Linked DNA regions of Arabidopsis thaliana. The protein of the gene in region 3 interacts with the protein of the main gene of each other region in a pairwise test. Each region holds a gene or a part of one and is shown on either strand. Other genes may lie near its edges. The genes, in order: AT2G29210, GSTU2, AT4G25920 and AT5G08650.

Region 1 (6,467 bases), on a different chromosome or scaffold from region 3:
TAATTGGAAAGAAAAAATAAATTAAATAACGAATCTTAAAAAGTCTTCCAAGTTGATTTTTTTCTTTACTGACATAAATTTTGCTTTATATATCATACAAATACGTCAAAGTCCATAATTTCGATGATGGTGATGACAAAAGAAAATATGTTATTATCTTTTGCATGACATGCCCTCATATATGAAACTGAAACACAGAGTTATGAGCTCATCTATATATACATTTTTGCTGCTACTTTGTGAAATAAATACTGGAGTTGGGATTTATTTACAACGGCTGCCACTGGCATTTAATAATTGTTTTTGATAATTAGAAAGAAAATCTTCTAATTAAATATTTGACATTTAACAATCTTCCCAAAATCTCTCAACCTTAACTACACGATTAATTACTAAAATAAAACTTCTAAAATATTTAATATCATTTAATTACTACAAAATTATCATTTTTGATATTGCTTTTCTGCATGATTATAATCATCAAACCGTAGAGATATTTGATAGCATTTAATTACTACAAAATTACAAAATATTTAGACAATAATTCATAAACATATCATAAATAAAATCAACATTAATAAAATAAATGAGTTTTTTTTAGAGGACGGGTTGGCGGGACGAGTTTGGCAGGACGTTATTTAATAACAATTGTAAACTATACAATAAAAATATTTTATAGATAGATAAAATTTACAAACTTTTATATATATTAATTAAAAAAATAAATTGTTTCCGCGGTGTACTGCGGGTTAAAATCTAGTCTAATACAATATTAGAGATAACTATAGTCATTGCTCTCATTTTTCCATTTGCATACTTATATGTTCTCAATTCTCATACCTACCTTATATTGTGTGCCCATACACCTTCCATGCGCACTTGTTGTCCACACAAATTACGATCAAACAACTGTTATATAGTTTCCACCCACACTTTCACCTATGGTTTAAGAAACATAAGTTACTCTAATGTAGTAGGACGAGTTGACCAAACCTAACTCCTTCATTTTGTTGCACCAACCCATATTTTTACCGAGTAATGCACACCCCAAAACTTATAATCATAGTCATCTTCCTTTCACGTCCCATAAGGTTCACATTGATTACTCTAATCTATTTCACTTTCAAGATTACCACCACATGTAACTTTTCCATTCCTTTTCCACATTTATCTCTTAAACCTCAAACACTTTCAAGTTTCATCTTCTCTCTCTCTTATTAACTTCATCTACCAACCCTACTTAACCTAAAACCATTTTCAATTGCTTAATCAGTCCACACAATGCACATAAATTTCCGTGACCACACTGTTCGTTTTAGAAGAAAAAAACCACTTCCAAAATTGCATATGTACCAATAAGATAAAATGTTTTACTCATTCAAATAGACCTACGAGATTAATTAAGACTAGGTTTGCTTTGGGCTAAAACTGGCCCATAAGCTATGGCAATTGAAACCAATCAGATTACAAAAAAGGCTTGTCAAGAAGATGAGACCGAACATGTTCCAATAAATGGCAATAACGTAATTCTCAAAACCTCTGAGGGTAACAATGGAAAAACAAAATGAAGTGAGTCCGATATAGCTAGGGCTCGTTAAAAACTCTTCAAAATCTCTGTGGAAGCCCCATTTTCACATCTAAATCTCACAAATCTCTCTCAAGCTTCGATCTTTCTTCTAGAGACGAGCTAGTGCTTCCACAAACCCTAAACTATGTCCGGCGGTTTCTTCCGGGTTAGTTTTCCGATCAATTTTCTCAATTGATCTCTCATCTTTTAGATCCAGATCGATGCAATTCAAAAGTTTTGTTGAAGTTCCCATGGTTTAATAACTTCTTTGTTTTGAGCTTTTAGGGTACTTCCGCCGAGCAGGATACTCGGTTTTCTAACAAGCAAGCTAAATTGATGAAAAGCCAGAAATTTGCTCCGGAGTTAGAGAATCTGGTGAGTTTTCTCTTTGTGTACTCGTCCATTTTAACGATTTGTGAATTCGTAGCTTGAATTTACTTAATTGAGATTCGATTACCAGATAATTCGATACATATGTTACTATGAAATTAAGTTTGGGGAGGGCTTAATGATGTCTTCTACTTGCCTTGGTGTTAGGTGGATATCACTAAAGTGAAGATGGATGTTATGAAACCTTGGATTGCGACTAGAGTCACTGAGCTTCTTGGTATTGAAGATGAAGTGCTGATTAACTTTATCTATGGTCTGCTTGACGGGAAGGTAAGCTCATTACTGAGATTTTATTTTTCTGAGCTTTTTATTCGACTGTTAATAAGTGACAGAGGGGTAGTATGATTTCGTAGCCCATGCCATTGATACAAGTGATTTTTTTTTGTTGGACTAATATGTAATTGAACGTTCACTATGTATGTAGGTAGTGAATGGTAAGGAGATTCAGATAACGCTAACTGGATTCATGGAGAAAAATACTGGCAAATTTATGAAAGAACTTTGGACACTTCTTCTAAGCGCACAGAATAATCCAAGTGGTGTTCCACAGCAGTTTTTAGATGCTAGAGCTGCTGAAACAAAGAAGAAACAGGTATTCTTGGGAACTCATTCTGAAGTTAGTTTGGTGAACGACTTGTCTCTGTCCTACTGTTTCATGATTATTATCCTTTATGTGGCAGGAAGAAGCAAATGAAATAATGAAGAAGAGGGAGGGAGATAAGAAGAACATTGAGCACGATATATTGAGGAAAATAGTAAGACGTTCTTATTCATGCTAGAGTTTCAGCTTTAGAGATGCTCTTCTGGTTTTAACATTCGCCTGTTCTTTCATGTTATTCAGATAGCTTCTGCAATTATTAGGGTTCATGTGCTTTACCTCAACTACTGTAGGACAGCGGTGTAGAACATAAGGAGACAAATGGCATGGATGCAAAACCTTCAAGAGATCGTCCAGAGGATGGGAGAAGGGCTGACGAGAAGAATGGTGTAAAAGAAAGGAGAAGGTAGAGTTCTCTTAATGCCTATGATTTCATAGCTACTCTCTACTCATCGCTGTATTCCCTTGTGTACTTTATTATTGATTGAGTTCATCCTTCTAGTCTACTCATAACTTTGTACGTTGATTTTCTCTATAAGAACTCGTGGGCATGAGTTGTTCAAGTATTTCTATAAATGACTGTTCTGGGTCTTCTAGTCTTTTAGCATTTTTAGGTATGCTACTGGTACTTTGCATGTGCATTTGGTTTGCTGGTGGTCCAGGAATTTGTTTGTGGCCAAGATTATTATGTAAGTGGGTTCTGACATTGCCTCCACTTGATGCAGGGATCTGATACCTCCACGTCGCGGAGATGCATCCCGCTCACCCCTTAGGTGACTCTTCAATAGTTTTGTTTTTTCTAATACAATTTGCTTATATGTGCAAGTATATATTGATTGGTTGCTTTACAGAGGGTCACGTTCTAGGTCAATCAGCAAAACAAATTCAGGCTCGAAAAGTTATTCTGGGTATGTAGCCTTCTGCAATTGTTTTTCTTAATCCAAAGAAATTGTAGCCTGTGATGTGTAGCTAGCTAGTTCTGTATCTATTATTTTCTGTAAATCCTAGTGCAGTTTTTGCTAATGCTGTCTACTTTTATAACAGCGAACGGAAATCCAGGAGCACATCTCAATCATCAGATGCCTCCATCTCACCTAGAAAGCGAAGATTGTCGAATTCAAGACGTAGATCCAGATCACGTTCCGTGCGTAGGTCTCTGTCTCCTCGGCGACGTAGGATACACTCTCCTTTCAGAAGCAGGTCGCGGTCACCTATTAGACGTCACAGGCGACCTACGCATGAGGGACGCCGTCAATCACCAGCCCCTTCAAGACGTCGCCGTTCTCCATCCCCACCTGCTAGACGGCGCAGGTCACCATCCCCACCTGCTAGACGGCGCAGGTCACCATCACCACCTGCTAGACGGCACAGGTCTCCAACACCACCTGCAAGGCAGCGCAGGTCACCATCGCCCCCTGCTAGGCGTCACCGTTCTCCACCGCCAGCTAGGCGGCGTAGGTCTCCTTCACCGCCAGCTAGGCGGCGTAGGTCTCCTTCACCGCCAGCTAGGCGGCGTAGGTCTCCATCTCCACTCTACAGGCGTAACAGGTCTCCATCTCCACTCTATAGGCGTAACAGGTCACGGTCACCGCTGGCTAAGCGGGGAAGGTCTGACTCACCAGGGAGGTCTCCGTCACCAGTGGCTAGGCTCAGGGATCCCACTGGGGCAAGATTGCCTTCACCATCCATTGAGCAAAGATTGCCTTCACCACCCGTTGCACAAAGGTTGCCTTCACCACCCCCTAGGCGTGCAGGATTACCTTCACCACCCCCTGCGCAAAGGTTGCCTTCACCACCCCCTAGGCGTGCAGGATTACCTTCACCAATGAGGATTGGAGGATCTCATGCAGCCAATCACCTGGAATCACCATCACCCAGCTCATTGTCCCCTCCTGGTAGGAAAAAAGTGTTACCATCTCCACCTGTTAGAAGACGCAGGTCACTGACACCTGACGAAGAGCGAGTCTCCCTGTCACAAGGTGGACGCCATACTTCCCCTTCACATATCAAGCAAGATGGATCTATGTCACCTGTTAGGGGTCGAGGTAAATCTTCTCCTTCATCTCGACATCAGAAAGCGCGCTCTCCTGTTCGGCGCAGATCACCAACACCTGTCAACCGGCGAAGTCGAAGATCTTCATCTGCTTCACGATCACCTGATAGACGCAGGAGACGGTCTCCATCTTCGAGCAGATCTCCTTCTAGGTCGCGATCACCTCCTGTTCTTCATAGATCTCCTTCTCCACGTGGAAGAAAACATCAGAGAGAGAGAAGATCTCCTGGGCGTCTATCTGAAGAACAAGATAGGTATGGTCTTCATGACTCCATTTACTATAATCTTCTTCTTATCTGTACTTGTTAACTCCTTGACCCTCTGTCTGCTTTCGCATTGTGACAGGGTTCAAAATTCCAAGCTGTTAAAGAGAACTTCAGTGCCTGATACTGACAAGAGGAAACAATTACCAGAGAAGTTGCTAGAAGTTGGGCGTGTAGAACATTATAAGGAGCAGGAGAGAAAGAGGTGCATTTTGTTTCTTTTCATTTTCCAAATGATTTTCGTTTGACTTCAAATATCAAGGTCTGATAAATGTTGGTCTATTCAACTTCTTAACAGTGATAAGTTGTCAGAGAAGCGATCTGTTCACAGACACCATGGTTCACAGATGTCCCCAGTAGAAAATTCAGAAGGAAGGAGTCGGCCTGTTTCTAGTAAAGTGAAAGACAGTGAGCAGGTTGAGAAAGAGGATAACAGCGACCTGGATGCAAACCTTTCCTGTGATTCTAAGGATACCATCAGACATCAAATTAAGGATAAAAATAGAAGAAAGAATAAAAGGTCTTCAAGGGAAGAAGTATCTTCAGATGATAATGGCAGTTCTGATTCCGACGTAGATGATAGGAAGGAGGCTAAAAGGAGGAGGAAGGAGGAGAAGAAAACGAGAAAGGAGGAGAAGAAACGTAGGCGAGAGGAGAGACATCGTAAAAGGGAAGAACGTCGTGGTGGAAAGGAGAAGCATAAGAAACAAGAGCTTTCTGATACTTCAGAAGGTGAAGTTGAGGCCCGTCCTAAGATTAAAAAAGGGGAGGAATCTGATCCAAAGAGGCTTGAAATTGAGTTGCGAAACAAAGCACTCGAGTCATTGAAAGCAAAGAAGGGCATTAGCCACTAAGTCCCTTGTCCAGCGTTATTTGAACATCATCTTTTATGATACTATCCCTTGCTAGATTTATGAACATCATCTTATGTTGTGTTTTTTCTTACATGTTCCAAACTTTCTTATGTGGTCTGTTTGTTGGTGGCAGCAAAATTGGACAAGTGACAATTATGATAGCAAAATTGGACAAGTGACAATTATGATAGCAAAATTGTTTCTTGCATTGGGTGGTCCCTTTATGTTAACATAAGCTTTAAAAAACCATTTAGGTTAATATAAGCTAACAAAAAAAACCCAAGAGATGTTTTCATGGAAAATATTCCTGTATATGATGAAGTCATGATATAAGTTTCGTAGCTATGTATCCTAAACTGACATAACAAAATATCATTTAGATTTTAAATAGATCAAAGATATATTTTGTAATGATCATTTTCCCAGAAGAGTAGGATCAGATTGTCCTAACAACAAGAAAATATTTCTCAAAACCAGAAATTCTTATTTTCAAATTTACAAATGGAGTAAAATACAATTATAGGCTTTATTCACATCATCATGCTTAATGCATCTTCGTCCAATCTTGAAATCACACAATTCAAAATACAGACACGTTTGTGAGATCACTTTTTAGACTCCATAGAAGAGGTAGTCATCATGAGGGAGAGCTTCAGTTCCTTCGAGATACCGAAACACATTTTTCATCATTGGCCTTGATTCTGGAGATCGGTTGGCGCAGAGAAGTCCTGTTTTCAGAACC
Region 2 (3,560 bases), on a different chromosome or scaffold from region 3:
GGAGTTGCTTGTGTTTTTGTCATGGTTATGGTTCATGTTTTACTTGAGTGTGTGAGTACTCTATCTAAATTATAATAATCTCCGATTGAGCTATGAATTATGATGTATCGGATACATTTGATCCTAATGAAGTATGGAATAAATAATAATTATTAACCTTTGTCTAAATTCAAAAGAAGTTTAACCGACGAGATGATTTCGCTTAGAGTTCGATTTCGGTTTAACTAAACCAAATCAACCGATACCGTGAATCAAGACGGAATCAAACCCAAAAACTGAAAAGGTTCACATTATATAAATGTTATATTTTGATTTAGATTATTACATCATTTCTTTCAAAATGATTAACATTTTGTTTGATAACTGAATATTTCTTCTGTTTTACAATGTCATTCATTTCAAATGTTTGGCAGACAATGAATTGGCCAAAAAATAGACTCTTCAAAACAAAAAAAGTTGTGTGTTTTACAAATACAGTCGATACATTAATCTCTCAGTTTTAAACTTTTCAACATATGAATCTTAAAATATAAATTGTAGAACGTAATCATTTGGAGATTTGTTATTTCTTGGTCGGCTAATTGACTGGAGATTAGAAACACTAAGTGTTGGTCAAATATCTTAAAACACTAAGACGAATGACGTTGGCAATGACGTGCATACCTTAAAATATAAATCAGTCCTTTTCTGGTGTGATCTTCAAGATATCCTTGGATACAAAGACAAAGAGAAAGCAAAATGGTCCTTTTATTTATTTGTTTATTTCACCACCCATAACTTCATTTGTGTATAGAATATAGTAAACTCAAGTAATCAAGCAAGTAAACGAAACATAAAAAAGAAAAGTAGTGCAAGAAACAGAGGAGTTAGATACCAAAAAGTGAGAGATATCGAATGGCGGAGAAAGAAGAGAGTGTGAAGCTTCTAGGGTTTTGGGCAAGCCCTTTTAGTCGTCGAGTCGAGATGGCTCTCAAACTCAAAGGCGTGCCATACGAATACTTGGAAGAAGATTTGCCCAACAAGACCCCTTTGCTTCTGGAGCTAAACCCGCTTCACAAGAAAGTTCCGGTTCTTGTCCACAATGACAAAATATTACTCGAGTCACATCTGATTCTCGAATACATCGATCAGACGTGGAAGAACAGTCCAATTCTTCCTCAAGATCCTTACGAGAAGGCCATGGCTCGATTTTGGGCCAAGTTCATCGATGACCAGGTATACTAATATTGATTTGCAGATTAATTAGTTGATTCTATGCAGAACAATATTATATTATTCGCTTGTTTATATATTGTTCTTTACTTGCAGATCCTAACACTAGGGTTTAGGTCCCTTGTAAAAGCAGAGAAAGGAAGAGAGGTTGCTATTGAAGAGACTCGGGAACTGCTTATGTTTCTTGAGAAAGAAGTCACTGGAAAAGATTTCTTCGGTGGCAAGACAATCGGATTCTTGGACATGATCGCAGGAAGTATGATCCCATTTTGTCTAGCTAGACTTTGGAAAGGTATTGGAATTGATATGATTCCAGAGGAGAAGTTTCCGGAATTAAATAGATGGATCAAGAATTTGGAAGAAGTTGAGGCAGTGAGGGGATGTATTCCTCCAAGAGAGAAACAAATTGAGCGCATGACCAAAATTGCAGAGACAATTAAGTCTGCCTAAATTAAAGATACTTCTTGCCTACGAAAATATTTGATTTATATGCTTGCATCGTTTTTTATTTATATTTTTATTTTTTAAAGTTTTTCGAAAAATAGAATGACCTAATATTTAAGTAAAAAGATCAAAAACCTATTTGAAAGTTACAGCAATCAAATAACGTGGTGTGTCTGGAGATTGTAAAAGCCAAGACTAGAAGGAAATAAGAATAAAATAACCAAAGTGACCTCAGCAGTGACTTGGTTACCTTACTGATGTCTTTTTTTTTTTTTTTATCTTCAAGATAAGCTTGAGAGTTGAGACTACAAAAAAAAGCACAATATTGTTTTTAAAGTGACAGAGAGAGTCAGAGAGAGAGATCTAATGGCGAAGAAAGAAGAGAGTGTGAAGCTTCTAGGGTTTTGGATAAGCCCTTTTAGTCGTAGAGTCGAGATGGCTCTCAAACTTAAAGGCGTACCATACGAGTACTTGGAAGAAGACTTACCCAAAAAGAGCACTTTACTTCTTGAACTAAATCCGGTTCACAAGAAGGTTCCGGTTCTTGTTCACAATGATAAATTATTATCCGAGTCACATGTGATCCTCGAATACATCGACCAAACTTGGAATAACAATCCAATTCTACCTCACGATCCCTACGAGAAGGCCATGGTTCGGTTCTGGGCCAAGTTCGTTGATGAGCAGGTACTCTAGTCTAACTAATTAAATTGATTTATAATATTGATTGCAAAATAAATGAGAAACACTTGAGAGTTATTAGAAGTTCATTACATTTCAAGCATTTATATCAGGATTATTTGTAGGATAAAGTAATTTTCTAAGTACTTTTTTTTATAGATTGGTATAATAACTTGCAGATCCTACCAGTTGGCTTCATGCCCCTAGTAAAAGCAGAGAAGGGAATAGATGTTGCTATTGAGGAGATTCGAGAAATGCTTATGTTTCTTGAGAAGGAAGTCACTGGAAAAGATTTCTTTGGTGGCAAGACGATCGGATTCTTGGACATGGTTGCGGGAAGTATGATCCCGTTTTGTCTTGCTCGGGCTTGGGAATGTTTGGGGATTGATATGACTCCAGAGGATACGTTTCCAGAATTAAACAGATGGATCAAGAACTTGAATGAAGTTGAGATCGTGAGGGAATGTATACCTCCAAAAGAGAAACATATTGAGCGTATGAAGAAAATTATAGAGAGAGCTAAGTCTACGTTCTAAATTAATGATAACTTCATAACTCTGTGTTCTAAAATAATGACTATGTGCAGCTTGTATCGTTTTGTTATTGAAAAATTTGAAACAAAGAATGAATGTAGCTGCATTGGTAGTGGAAATCAATTAATGGGTGCAAAGTGAAATGTTGAAAGCTACCTATTATAACTATAATAACAAATATTGATTTATGGTTTAGGGAAAATAAATTGCAAAGATGGTAAATCTAAGTTCGATAGGATGATGAGTTAATTTGTTTCATGATGTGTGGTATTGATTACATGATGTTTGATAAGAAGTTAAGAACATTAACGTATGGTTGGTTAGTATTGGTTTATTGTGTATTGTTGGTTAGTATTTCAGTTTAGTGATATTCTGGTTCTATTAGTCTATCCAATTTTGTATTAGCATTGGTAACTCAATTTCTTCAAGAAATGAAATAACAAATATTTAACATATCTCTCCAAAACTAATACATCGGAAGTGAAAGATGAAAGACATGTTCAAAGAATATTTATCAAAAAAAAAAAAAAGAGAGATGGTCAAAGTTAGACATAAATATTGACTTTTGAGGATTCTTAATATTTTGAACACATGCTGAAATGTTTAGGCGTGAGGATAAATGATGAACACATTTGAAAGTGACGGCAATGATGAACAACTACCTTCTAGATGTTCTTGGATGATACACAT
Region 3 (3,616 bases):
ATCAAATTAAAATGTTGAGTAATTAACCTAATAGTTTGTATAATTGTTTATTCAAAAGCAATGTCTATAGTATATATACCACTTGACGAGGAATTGTTCACCGGAGGGTGACTCCACATAGTGATCCACCACAAAATAATGTAACAACACTCAAAATATGTGTTGTGATTTTGATTTGACGTGCGACTCTTTCGTCTTCCCCGTCTCTGTCTAGTGAATACCGAGGGTACTACACCTTAGGACATTAAATATACATATTTAGAGGATAACTTGTTTCAGGAAATAAATAATTATATAAGTTTTGTGCCAAAGTGTGTCTTACGTATATTAATTGAGAAATATGATGAATTAACCGAATTCGTTTAGATTCGCCTTCTTTTTTTTTTGGTAGGATAGATTCGCCTTCTTTTAAGGCACTAATATAAATTTCATTGAACATAGATTAAAAGAGAACATTGGATTTAAATGAAATCATGGGAAAGCAAAGACAGCGATAACATTAGCGAAACATAAACACGTGCAAGAGAGATAATTAATTAGGAGCTAGTACTGGAAAGGAAGCCGGAGGAGGCCAGTAAGGGAATTCCAATTTCCTTAATGGATTATCATCTTTTGTGAGGAACATAGTGCAAGTTTTGGTGGTGAGATCATAAACACCAAAGTTATAGCCCACAAAATAGATGCAGTTAGGCTTGAGGCCAGGGGACGAGCTAGCCGGGACGCAGAAAGCCTCACTATGTCCAACAAAAATGCAAAGATCTCCAATGTCTTCTGTATAGATCATCTTCTTAGTGTAGACACAACTCGGTTTCTCTCCCTCTTTAAACACCATGAACTTTTTTGTTACATTATACAGTGTGGTGTTGTCAATGTCCTCTAAATCCTCTCCATACCTGCAAAGACATGATAAAGCGCGCCAATATGATACTCAAGCAAAGGATTAGAGATTTTGGTATATATGTTATGAAGACAAAAGCTATATATAGCTTTAATTAGATAGTATACCACTTGACTAGGAAAAGTTGGCCGGTGGGTGACTCCACAAGGTGGTCTGTCCTAGAACATGTACTCACGTCGGCCAACTCTTGAAACACCGATTTTGGAAGATCGTCAAACTCCAATTCCACGAAATCAATTAGGTCGTCGTCCTCTGAGTGAGGATCCAAATAGCACAAGATGTTGCCTCCGGGAGTTGGAACGTAGAACTTTTTCTCTTTCTTGGAAAACATGATGCTCGATGAAGGGTTTATATTCTGAGGCTTGGTTTGGATGTTGATCCATTTACGGCTGCCAAAAGGCCTGCACATACTCAACTGAGATCCCAATAACTTGACAACAACTACCCAATTTTTGTCTCGTTTAGGTAAAGAGGACATGACCAGGCTTTGGATTTGTGAACCCGTCGGTAGAGGAGGTAGATCAACGGTCAAGTCTTCTATTTCGGGGTCAGTAGGCTTGTAAAAGATGGTGGGAGAACATACATCGCCGTGGTTGCCACAAAGCTCGACTCGCAACCCATCACGAGAAAACCCGACAGTCATCGCATCACAGACCTCCTCCTTAAGATCCTTGTCCTTAATCAAGACTTCCTTTTCATTACCGTAAACGTTTGTTGTTACGCGACCATCGGAGGAAGAGTTTGGGTTGTTTAGGATGTAGTCAATCAACAGAAACGGGAAGGCTGGTTTAGACGAGAAGGGCTGATTCACTTTAGTACTCGTGTGAGTTGCAGATGAGAACAGACGAACGTTTGCGTGTCTCTGCCATAGTTATGTTCAAGTATTCAGAGACAACAAGAACAAAATTAAAGTTAAAAAGAAAAAGCAAGAGAAGCTTACGTACGAGGAAATTTTTGCAGACAGAGGGTTTGAATATTCGGTTGATTATAAGCTTTGACATTGTTGAAACTCTTAACTATGTTATGTCTGTGTTTCCTCATATCTTCTTATGTCCGACTTATTATAGAGATTCTAGTATCCTTGCTCACCAAGAACTCGCTATAAATGCATATTTAATTAGAGAATAATTGGTTTAAGGAAATAACTCTTTAAGTTCGATTATCTTTGTGTAGTCAAGTCATGAATATTTTATAACTGTTACCTAAAAACAAGGATCACTAGAGAAAATGTCCTTCATACATAGGATACTTTTTTTTTCTTTTCCTTTTTCTTCAACAGAAATGGTTATTGTATTAGTTGTACTAATTATATAATTGGAAATAAAATATATTGAATCAAAAATAGGCCTTGTATATAAGTTACAAAATAAAAAGGTTAATGTCACTCTAGAAGCTGGACTGCACCTATAGAAGGAATTGTTTCCCTCAGTTTTTGAGTCAACGCGACACGAACAGTCATGACTCCAGCAGCTGGTCCAGTGAGTCGAACCTTGACCACGTAACCATCAATCTCAACTAACTCAAGCCCCCCACCTCCAGTACCGGATAGGTACGGCCTTAACTCAGAGAGAACCTAAATTGACAACAAACCAAAAAAGGACCATTCAGATCAATTTCAAAACCAAGGGGCTAATAAACCAAAAATAACTAAACCTTTAAAAAACCAAACCTTCTCAATGTTCTCATCGTTCAGCTCTAAACCTCCTGTCTCGGATTCAAGAAACTGCTCAACGGACATGATCTCTGGAATCTTGTCTCGAAGACGACTCTCGATTCCCATCTTCAACGTCATTGATGAGCTAGGACACGAACCACAAGCTCCTTGTAGCTTTAAAACCACCACAAGTCCGTCGATTTCGTGCAACGCCACGTTTCCTCCGTCGGCCATTAGAGATGGTCGTACTTCGTCTAACACTCTCTCCACATTCTCTTCCGTTAACGGCATGACGCAGCTCACGTGACCAAATACTAAACCAAACATAACAAGAATCTAAATCACAACTAAAGTTCTAAAGAGATTGGTCTGGTTTGCAAATCAAGTACCTGTTCGTTTTCTCAAAGGTCGAGTGTGTTGTAGCCAAGAAAAATGTATTCTTTGAAATTGACCCCTGAGGAATGTACTGCATTTGGAAGAGACCCCTAAAGTATCTGAAATTGCGTTCTAAACACAAGCGAAAGAGGAGAAGAAGAAATCAAGCAAAAGGAGTCATTTTTTTGGTGAAGCTCGACGAAGTGATAACAATTACCTTAGAATTGAGAAGCGACGAGCGGAAATTAGGGTTCTTCTCTGCTGTTGAGAGCGAGAGGTTCATCGTTGTAATTCGGGTTTGACCCGAAACAGAACCCATTTGGAACCTCACTTTTCTGCTTCACGATCGAGAGAGTTTCCAGAAATTGTGAAGATTTGGGGAATTCGGGTGGATCAAGTTTCTTTTTTTTTTTTCCCAGGAGATTCTGTAGCGAGAACAGAGTAAGAGTGGGAAAAAAAAAGAGAGAACTTTTCATTGGTGGATTGATGATGATATTGATACGTCTTGGAGATGATTTAATTTTGTGGCTAAGATTTTTTACTTTATTAATCAATACGACAGAACAGACTCCCAAAAGAAATATAAAATTAAAAAAAAATTGATTGTTCGACATGGGCTTCGCCTCTTATAAAGCCCAGCCCAAATATAGATAGACCCAAAAACGAGAATTGGATTCGGCACATCTAAG
Region 4 (7,780 bases), on a different chromosome or scaffold from region 3:
GGCAGCGCCTCGTGTTTCCATCAATCTACTTATCCAAACTTTTTGGGCAAGTGAAATTGTATCAATGAGATTGCTGAACCAAATTTTTGTATTCAGGTGTAAGAGTGCGTATGTATGCTGTATTCATAAAAGTTCATATTAAAGAGCTTAAGCAAAATAACCTTATCCCTGTGTACGATGGTTGACAAAGGTTCCACCATTTCAGCATTAATCAGAATATCGAGTTTTATCAGATCACTTTCCCTGTACCTGCTCACATATTACAAGACAAAAAAAAAAAGTTGAATACCTTAAGATGGTAAGAAAGACATCAAAAAGAGCAAAAGAAACATATTATGTATTAAGCTTAAATGGAAACTGACGAAGCTGAGTAGTTAACTTGTATAAAGAAGGGCTACCAAATTTAACGATAGAGAGCAACACGATAATTAACCTGATTGAAATTGATCTGATGCTGCTAAGCAAATATATATATTTTAGATACTTGTTTATCACTTTGGGATTACTATGAAAAGAATATAGATTCTTATCTTCACAAAAAAGCTGACGCATTTCTTTGTTAATCAACAAAAATAGAAGGCAAGCATCACAAAGTAAGAGAAAGATCTGTGTATTAAAAGTTGAAAGATCTAACCCAATAACGGAGTATTCCATGCTAGCATATCCCTTGGTTCTCGACTTCAATTGGTCAAAGAAATCACCCACCATCTGCAAAATGGCAGGGAGCGATTAACAAGAAGATCAGTTTACATAATCAAGAGAGACATGGCTAAACTTTCATTGGGGTTATCTTAACTCTGCACAAGCAGAGATCTCACCTCTGCAAGAGGTAACTCATAGAGGATTGAAGCTCTGTTCTCAGCTATATATTTCATTTCTTTGAACTCCCCTCTCCTCTCTTGAGCGAGCTCCATAAGCGCACCAATATAGTCTTTTGGTGTGAGCAGTTCAATCTGTATAAAATGGTTTTGCAGTAAGGAAATGTAATTCTACGAAATGTGGTGTGTGAACTTATCAGCAATATCTCCAGTAGAAAAGGCAACCTTAACGTATGGCTCCTCGACCGATTTCCTTTGCCCAGGATCTGGAAGGCGTGATGGATTTGAGCACAAAGTCTGCAGTAAAATTGATTTCACAGGTAATAAGGCTCTAGATCAAGAAAGAAAGACAAAAGGATGCGATTTTCAGGGAACAAAGAAGAATATTTAAAAGTTTGGGATCAAGAGGAAATTACAGTATCACCATTTACAGAGTTCACCCTATAAACAACACTTGGAGCTGTGGTAATAAGATTTAAGTTGTACTCCCTCTCTAGCCTTTCCTGTGAAGAAGAGTGAACTGGAGCGTAAGAACAAAGAATGATATAATTCACTTTGTTGAGTATAATTTATGGCGGGTATCTATCGGGGAGGAAACTGTAAATAAGTAAAATACTAACAGATAACTCAGTATCTATGAATTTCTTTTCTCTATCTTCTGTTGCATAGGAAATTTTCAGTCAGAGACGCACCAAAAACACTTTAGAACAAGAAGAGCGAAACATATCTGACCTGCACAATTTCCATGTGGAGAAGACCCAAAAACCCGCATCTAAAGCCAAATCCCATGGCACTCGAAGTTTCAGGCTCAAACTGCAGGATAAAAACCAAGTTGAGGACAAACCTATAGATATGTTAATGCTAACGTATACGCTCCTTAGACCAAATGTGAATATTTTTAACAAAGATACATACAATAGAGGACTGAAGACCAGTTCTTTGCAAAACACAATTTTACTTTCCAATTCGAAGCCAACTGGGCATAAACATACATTGGCTAAGTAAGCATACGAAGACCATAGTTGTTTCGTCCGTGCAAATTATTCTGGGTACAGATGAAAGAAAAATGTTGTTTCTGTCATTTAATTCTACTATACCTTCAATGCAGCATCATTGAGTTGCAGTTTTTCCAATGCATCGCGAAGATCGGGAAACCTGCCATCATAGACCAGGTGTGAAAAAAAAAAATACAAAATGAAAAAGCAAAAAGTCAACAATGAAAAACAAAAACTCAGTACTGGTCAGCGTCAACTGGAAAAAGACCACAGAACACCATAGGGGTAGCTTCCTCGTAACCAGGTAAAGAGCTTTCTGCCTTTCTGCTATAATGTGTTATTGTATCTCCTACCCTGGCATCTGCAACAGATCTTACAGAAGCCGCAATATATCCTACCTGTATTTAAGGACAGTAACCTTTAAAATATGTGCAAGAAATGTGGCATGATATTCAGGCATATCTGATATACACCAGCAGCATCAATCAGTGCTAAAAACATCTTTCTAGCTATTAGAACTTGAGCAAGGGAAGATGCAACTAACCATTTCTTCTCAAATATAGCCAAACAAGAAAAGTGAAAACATATTTGTTTCATTGCATTCAAATTGTTATTAACCACAACTCTATCTTCTGCCAAAGCTGCTACAAGGAAATGCTAAGAAAATCCTTCCATTTACAAACGCTTTTAGTTTTCCTATTAACATGTGTTGGAATAGAACGGCGGAAACTGCAAAAGAATACTGACATTTTCATTTCATAATACCAAGGTTTCTGCTGAAAGAAAAAAATTCAACAAGAAAATGGGACATGGATGCACAGGAAAGTAAACAAAACAAACAAAATATTATGTTCAAAAGAGTACACTACCTCACCCGCATATAATTCATCCACTTGAATTTGATTTGGAGATAGAACTCCGACTTCATCCGCAAAATAATCCTGCAATTGATGCAAAACTGAGAACATGAAGGATACTAGTGAAACACAAGTAAGCGTTCTTAAAAGCTTAAACATTCTCAAATTTTTCCTGAAAGAATTATAGAATAACACTTCACATCGCTTTATTCAAATAGACCGCGAAAACCTATCTCATGCACAAATTACATTCAATTCATTATTGGCAAATGGAAAGCTATCTCGATTAAATAGAAAGACAGTACAGTAGAGTAAAAGAGATAAACCTTTCCGCTTGCCATGAAAAAAATTCTGTCGCCTTTCTTCACTTTCCCATCGATAACTCGAAAGTATACAATGACACCACGATATGGATCATAATAACTGCAGCAAAATGAATTTTGGACGAAAAATATAAAGTAGTTCACATATAAAAACTGCACACTTGTAGACTAATCAAGCAAAACAAACACGAGTATTTCACACTCATTTTTAGTTCACCAGTGATTAACTGGTACTGACTTGACATGCCAATGATCAGTCCAATCATTATATACGAATACAACTTCGACTCCAAGACTCAATTTCATACTGTTTTCTCTAGAAAAGGCAAAAATCGTTATGAATAAAAACAACAAGTGCAAACCTGTCAAAAATTAAAGCTCTTAAGGGCTTTCCTGCAGTATCGAGAGGTGCAGGTATCCTTTGAACAATTGCATCCAAAATCTCGGTAATACCAATTCCCTCCTGCGTGTATATATTATTCCCCAAAAATTGTAATTGAATGGATAGAAAGCCACACGTCTTAATTTTTGGGTAGCAGAATAGCAAAACAATTTTAAAATCTAACCTTTGCCGAACAGAATATCGCTTTGCTACAATCTAACCCAATAACCTACAAACAATATGAATTATCAATCAGTGTTCACATAAAGGCTGATGTCTCTGAAATTGCAGCAATGAGACAATTACCCCATTCGAGGAACATGAGACTGGATCATAATATCACAAAGAAAATGTTTAAAGCATAAAAGAATGTACCGCAATAATCAACATAATATCTAATACTAGAAGCTAGAACCTTGTAAAATGTCAAGATAACATATTGACAACAGAAAAATAAAAGACTGAAGAGTTTTTGCAGACACCCAAAAAGGAATACTGTTCAAATTATTACTGGTTGCATTGTATGATTGCTATTGAATACGAACATCATAAAATGGGTAACACAATGAACATAATCACCAACCTCCTCAATCTCCCTGAGAACTTTCTCTGGCTCAGCGCCTGGAAGGTCAATCTTATTTAAAACCTGCAGGAAGAAGTAGAGTTCATTTGCTTTAAACTCTGGTATGCAGACCAAATATTTGAAAGAAGAATAAACCACCTTACATTATTATTTCCTGTATAGTCATGAATCAGGTTGAAGCAATAATGAAACGTTAAATGATATAATCATTTTATCCTAGACTAGCTATTCTTTTCTTTACTACGCATCTTCTATGTACTGCCAGAGTGATACTACCTATTTTTTTTAACATATTTGCCTTGTTTGAAAGTTAACTTATTGCAGACTCCGACTTCTTTTAAATAAAACGACATTGACATTTTTAAATAATCTTCCATGGAGATGAGACGAAGGAAAGAATGATGATAACTACCACATATAGTTGAAATGTGATTTGTTAAAAGGAATGATGATAACTAGCACATATAGCTAATAAGATGAAGCATAATTCCGTACTTACGGGAATAATTTCGAGGTTGTTTTCCAAGGCCAAATACACATTAGCCAATGTTTGTGCTTCCACACCCTAAAGCACATGATAGAGGAAGTTTAAGTTTTTCAGTAATGTAAGTATGTAACCATCAGAAAAGAACGAAATTACCAAGCGAAAAAACGGCATAAACAATACAGATTCCAGGTTTCCACAGCGTGTCAGAAAATTGTATGTCAAGAGAAAGAAAAATCACCTGGGATGCATCCACAACAAGAAGAGCACCCTCGCAAGCAGCAAGAGATCGGGAAACCTATGTACAAATAAACAGTGCATTCTTCATCAAAACTGCAACTTAATAGTTTGTGTATATTCCTAACTGTAAAAAAAATTACGCTTTTAGGTGATATATAACACTCAAACCAAGTAACTTCTCACATATGAAAAATAACTATAAGGCTAAGCTTCAAATGTATCCGTAGACAATAAGTAGATTAGAATATTGTAAGTACCTCGTAAGAGAAATCAACATGACCTGGAGTATCTATCAAGTTGAGGCAAAACGGTGTATCTTCATAAACATAACGCATTCGAGCTGCCTACACAAACATACACCGCAAAGTTACAAATCAGACCGTTGAGCAATCTTATCGAAACTGATTTTTGATTGTGCAGAGAAAGCGATTGAAAGAAAAACCTGAAGCTTGATAGTGATGCCTCGTTCTCTCTCTAAGTCCATGTTATCAAGAAACTGCTCCTTCATATCTCTGTTCTGAACAGTACCAGTCACCTGAAGCAACTTATCCGCTAACGTAGATTTCCCATGATCAATATGAGCTATAATACTAAAATTCCTGATGTTCGAAATTGGAACCTGCGAATTTCATAACAAATTCAGTTTCAAAAAAAATCCAAATTCTTCTCAAGTTTCGGCACACGGATGAAGAGAGAGAACAAAACAGAACCCGACCTTCAAAAGACGGTCTTGACCAGAACGGGCGGCTAATTTGGAGCCAGAGACAGAGAGACCGCTCTGAGGCTCAGTTCCAGCTGTGGCTTGGCAAAGTATCTGTAACTTCCGATTAGAGTGACGGCGGAATCCAGAGACGGAAATGGAGGAGAGACGACGGAGAGATGGGGAAGATGTAGAAGTTCCGGATAAGAAAAACGTTGGAGGAGAAGATAAGTCCATAGCAGAAGCCATGGCCATGGCACTGTCTAAGCTCTCTACACCTCTCTCTACTGTTTTGAGAGAAATTCAAAGTATCCTGAGCCACAGACTATGTAACTGGGCCACTGTATCCAATTGGGCCTGTCCATCGGATTCTAACCCACCCGACCCGATTCGATCCAAATCTGTTTTCTTAAAATAACGAATTTGTTTTGTGTGAATTAAACCGAAATTAGACCACAAATTTAATGAAACTGAACAAGATCAAATAAATTGATTTTAAATCAGATAATTCTAAACCCAAAAATATTCGAAGTAGAACATCAAATGTCAAAAAACATAGAAATAAGCTTTTTGTTCAATATTGTTGTGCTATGATTTGATTCGATGAACCAGAAATCATGCATTTTGAGAATATAAGACTCTTTTTTATTCAATGATGAGTTGATTAGTGTTTAATCATTTCTTATATAAGATCTTCACATGCCTTTTAAGACTAATTTAATCCCTATGAAAAGTCCTAACCTTTTAGCGCAATTTCGGTTTAGAAGTAAGAGGAGTGAGGGATTGAAAGTAAAGATGAGTTTTTTACTTGCACGGAATGTAAAAAGACAGAGCACAAAATGAGTCAATGGCGTGGTAATAAGGGACGATTTGACCAATCCATCACCGCCTGTGACTCTTTTTATTAACATGGAGTGTGAGGAGATTAAAAGAAAAAAGGTTTAGACTTTTCTTCGTTTGTTTCTTTATCAAGCTGGTTGTTTCAATTTGGCTTTAGCTGATGCCAATTTGGTGTGGTCCAATCTCTCTTTTAATTTTTGTTTTTCTGATTTCTTCCTTCGTTCCTAGTTCATACTACTCTCCTTGACTTTCTCCTTTTTAACATCAATTCTCTCGTGTTCGAGGTTCCTTTGTCTCTTTTGTCTTTTCACTGTTGTGTGTCGTGAATCCCAAGCTCTATACCTCCGAAATTGGCTTGGCCCAAGTCTTTTCTGGTCTTTTTCTCTACTGGGTAAGTCTTCTTCTTCGCATTCCTCTCCTCAAAATACGATCTTGCTTAGGTTTTTTGGAGAAAGAAGACTTGCACAGTGTTTGACTTAAAGGCTTTTACTTCGTGAACGGCTTTGGCTTTATGTGAATCTGTTAATTTCCCCCAAGGCGATTACAATGTCTTAAACTATTTCGGACACGATCCTATCTCTGTGTTACTAATTTAGTTTGGAAGATTTGGTCTCCTTGAGTCTCTTGATCTGACTTTTTCCTTTGTTCTAGGTTATTACTCTTCCCCACAGTGGCATGATCTTTTCGATAACTTAGCTTAAAGGTCTTTGGAAAAGAGTTATGGGGAGTTTTTGCTCCAAGAGCCTTGGAATCAATTTTGGCAGCGAGTATTCTGGTTCTAGTGTGGCTGATGATGGTCGAGAACCTGATTTTGGCCACTCACAACCAAATGGGCAAACCAGTTTGATTGTTCCTGGTATGAGGCAGCTTATGGTTAAAGACGTCAAGGAACAAAATCAATTAAAAGATGTTTTCTCTTTCCGCGAAAGGGAAGCTGAAGATAATTTCTATGATGGAATTCCGACGTATACTATGGCTCCATCACAGAAAATTCGGTCTGCAAAATCAACTCAAACCGCTGTTTCAAAGGTTAGTATGGACCAAATGAAGCTCCTTTTTTAGCAACTAAGATTAAGAGTTAAAGCATTGTCTCTTAGTAACGGCAAGTGTCTTTTAAGTTTAGAAGTCCTGAAATGTCGTGAGACCAATCCGAATTTGCTATACTGTGGCAGGTTACAGAGGCAAGTAAGCTTTTAGGCAAAGCGGGGTTAGGTAGAGCAAAAGATGTTTTGGATACCCTTGGAAGTAGCATGACAGATCTTAGTAGCGGTGGATTTACTTCTGGAGTTGCAACTAAAGGCAATGAACTTGGGATCTTAGCTTTTGAAGTAGCAAACACAATTGTCAAAAGCTCAAATCTCATTGAATCCCTTTCTAAGAGGAACATCGAGCATTTAAAAGGAACTATCCTTTATTCTGAGGGTGTTCAAAACCTAGTCTCGAATGATTTCGATGAACTACTCAGACTTGTTGCAGCTGATAAGAGGTGAAAATTTTAGTCTAGACGGCTTCTTTTGTTTTTTCCTAGCTTTTTTAAAACATGGCAAGATAGTTAACT

Evidence for each region.
Region 1: the proteins of AT4G25920 (region 3) and AT2G29210 interact in a two-hybrid assay, tested with the Arabidopsis thaliana proteins (one large-scale study listed by BioGRID).
Region 2: the proteins of AT4G25920 (region 3) and GSTU2 interact in a two-hybrid assay, tested with the Arabidopsis thaliana proteins (one large-scale study listed by BioGRID).
Region 4: the proteins of AT4G25920 (region 3) and AT5G08650 interact in a two-hybrid assay, tested with the Arabidopsis thaliana proteins (one large-scale study listed by BioGRID).

What each region holds. Positions count from the first base shown.
Region 1 is NC_003071.7:12,556,444-12,562,910, forward strand, and holds AT2G29210 (splicing factor PWI domain-containing protein), read left to right. Parts: upstream 1-1,535; 5' UTR 1,536-1,712; coding exon 1,713-1,733; intron 1,734-1,852; coding exon 1,853-1,942; intron 1,943-2,104; coding exon 2,105-2,227; intron 2,228-2,381; coding exon 2,382-2,549; intron 2,550-2,637; coding exon 2,638-2,712; intron 2,713-2,848; coding exon 2,849-2,961; intron 2,962-3,280; coding exon 3,281-3,328; intron 3,329-3,406; coding exon 3,407-3,463; intron 3,464-3,599; coding exon 3,600-4,862; intron 4,863-4,953; coding exon 4,954-5,076; intron 5,077-5,169; coding exon 5,170-5,725; 3' UTR 5,726-5,924; downstream 5,925-6,467. Other genes in the region: AT2G29220 (Concanavalin A-like lectin protein kinase family protein), read right to left, coding at 6,338-6,467.
Region 2 is NC_003071.7:12,629,695-12,633,254, reverse strand, and holds GSTU2 (glutathione S-transferase tau 2), read left to right. Parts: upstream 1-1,933; 5' UTR 1,934-2,022; coding exon 2,023-2,343; coding exon of another isoform or gene 2,344-2,348; intron 2,349-2,516; coding exon 2,517-2,873; 3' UTR 2,874-3,057; downstream 3,058-3,560. Other genes in the region: GSTU1 (glutathione S-transferase TAU 1), read left to right, coding at 895-1,215, 1,309-1,662; AT2G29485 (uncharacterized protein), read right to left, coding at 2,281-2,348, 2,524-2,665. UniProt on the Arabidopsis thaliana protein: May be involved in the conjugation of reduced glutathione to a wide number of exogenous and endogenous hydrophobic electrophiles and have a detoxification role against certain herbicides.
Region 3 is NC_003075.7:13,163,758-13,167,373, reverse strand, and holds AT4G25920 (hypothetical protein (DUF295)), read right to left. Parts: upstream 1,900-3,616; coding exon 1,843-1,899; intron 1,761-1,842; coding exon 1,006-1,760; intron 894-1,005; coding exon 533-893; 3' UTR 502-532; downstream 1-501. Other genes in the region: NFU3 (NFU domain protein 3), read right to left, coding at 2,280-2,471, 2,568-2,866, 2,942-3,059, 3,145-3,246.
Region 4 is NC_003076.8:2,807,584-2,815,363, forward strand, and holds the start of AT5G08650 (Small GTP-binding protein), read right to left. Parts: upstream 6,020-7,780; 5' UTR 5,638-6,019; coding exon 5,398-5,637; intron 5,302-5,397; coding exon 5,125-5,301; intron 5,027-5,124; coding exon 4,940-5,026; intron 4,741-4,939; coding exon 4,684-4,740; intron 4,524-4,683; coding exon 4,458-4,523; intron 4,022-4,457; coding exon 3,959-4,021; intron 3,605-3,958; coding exon 3,560-3,604; intron 3,457-3,559; coding exon 3,356-3,456; intron 3,094-3,355; coding exon 2,997-3,093; intron 2,755-2,996; coding exon 2,683-2,754; intron 2,212-2,682; coding exon 2,057-2,211; intron 1,974-2,056; coding exon 1,916-1,973; intron 1,632-1,915; coding exon 1,551-1,631; intron 1,322-1,550; coding exon 1,235-1,321; intron 1,116-1,234; coding exon 1,044-1,115; intron 954-1,043; coding exon 819-953; intron 709-818; coding exon 635-708; intron 250-634; coding exon 162-249; intron 1-161. Other genes in the region: AT5G08660 (D-lactate dehydrogenase (DUF668)), read left to right, coding at 6,943-7,251, 7,395-7,708. UniProt on the Arabidopsis thaliana protein: Promotes chloroplast protein synthesis. May act as a fidelity factor of the translation reaction, by catalyzing a one-codon backward translocation of tRNAs on improperly translocated ribosomes.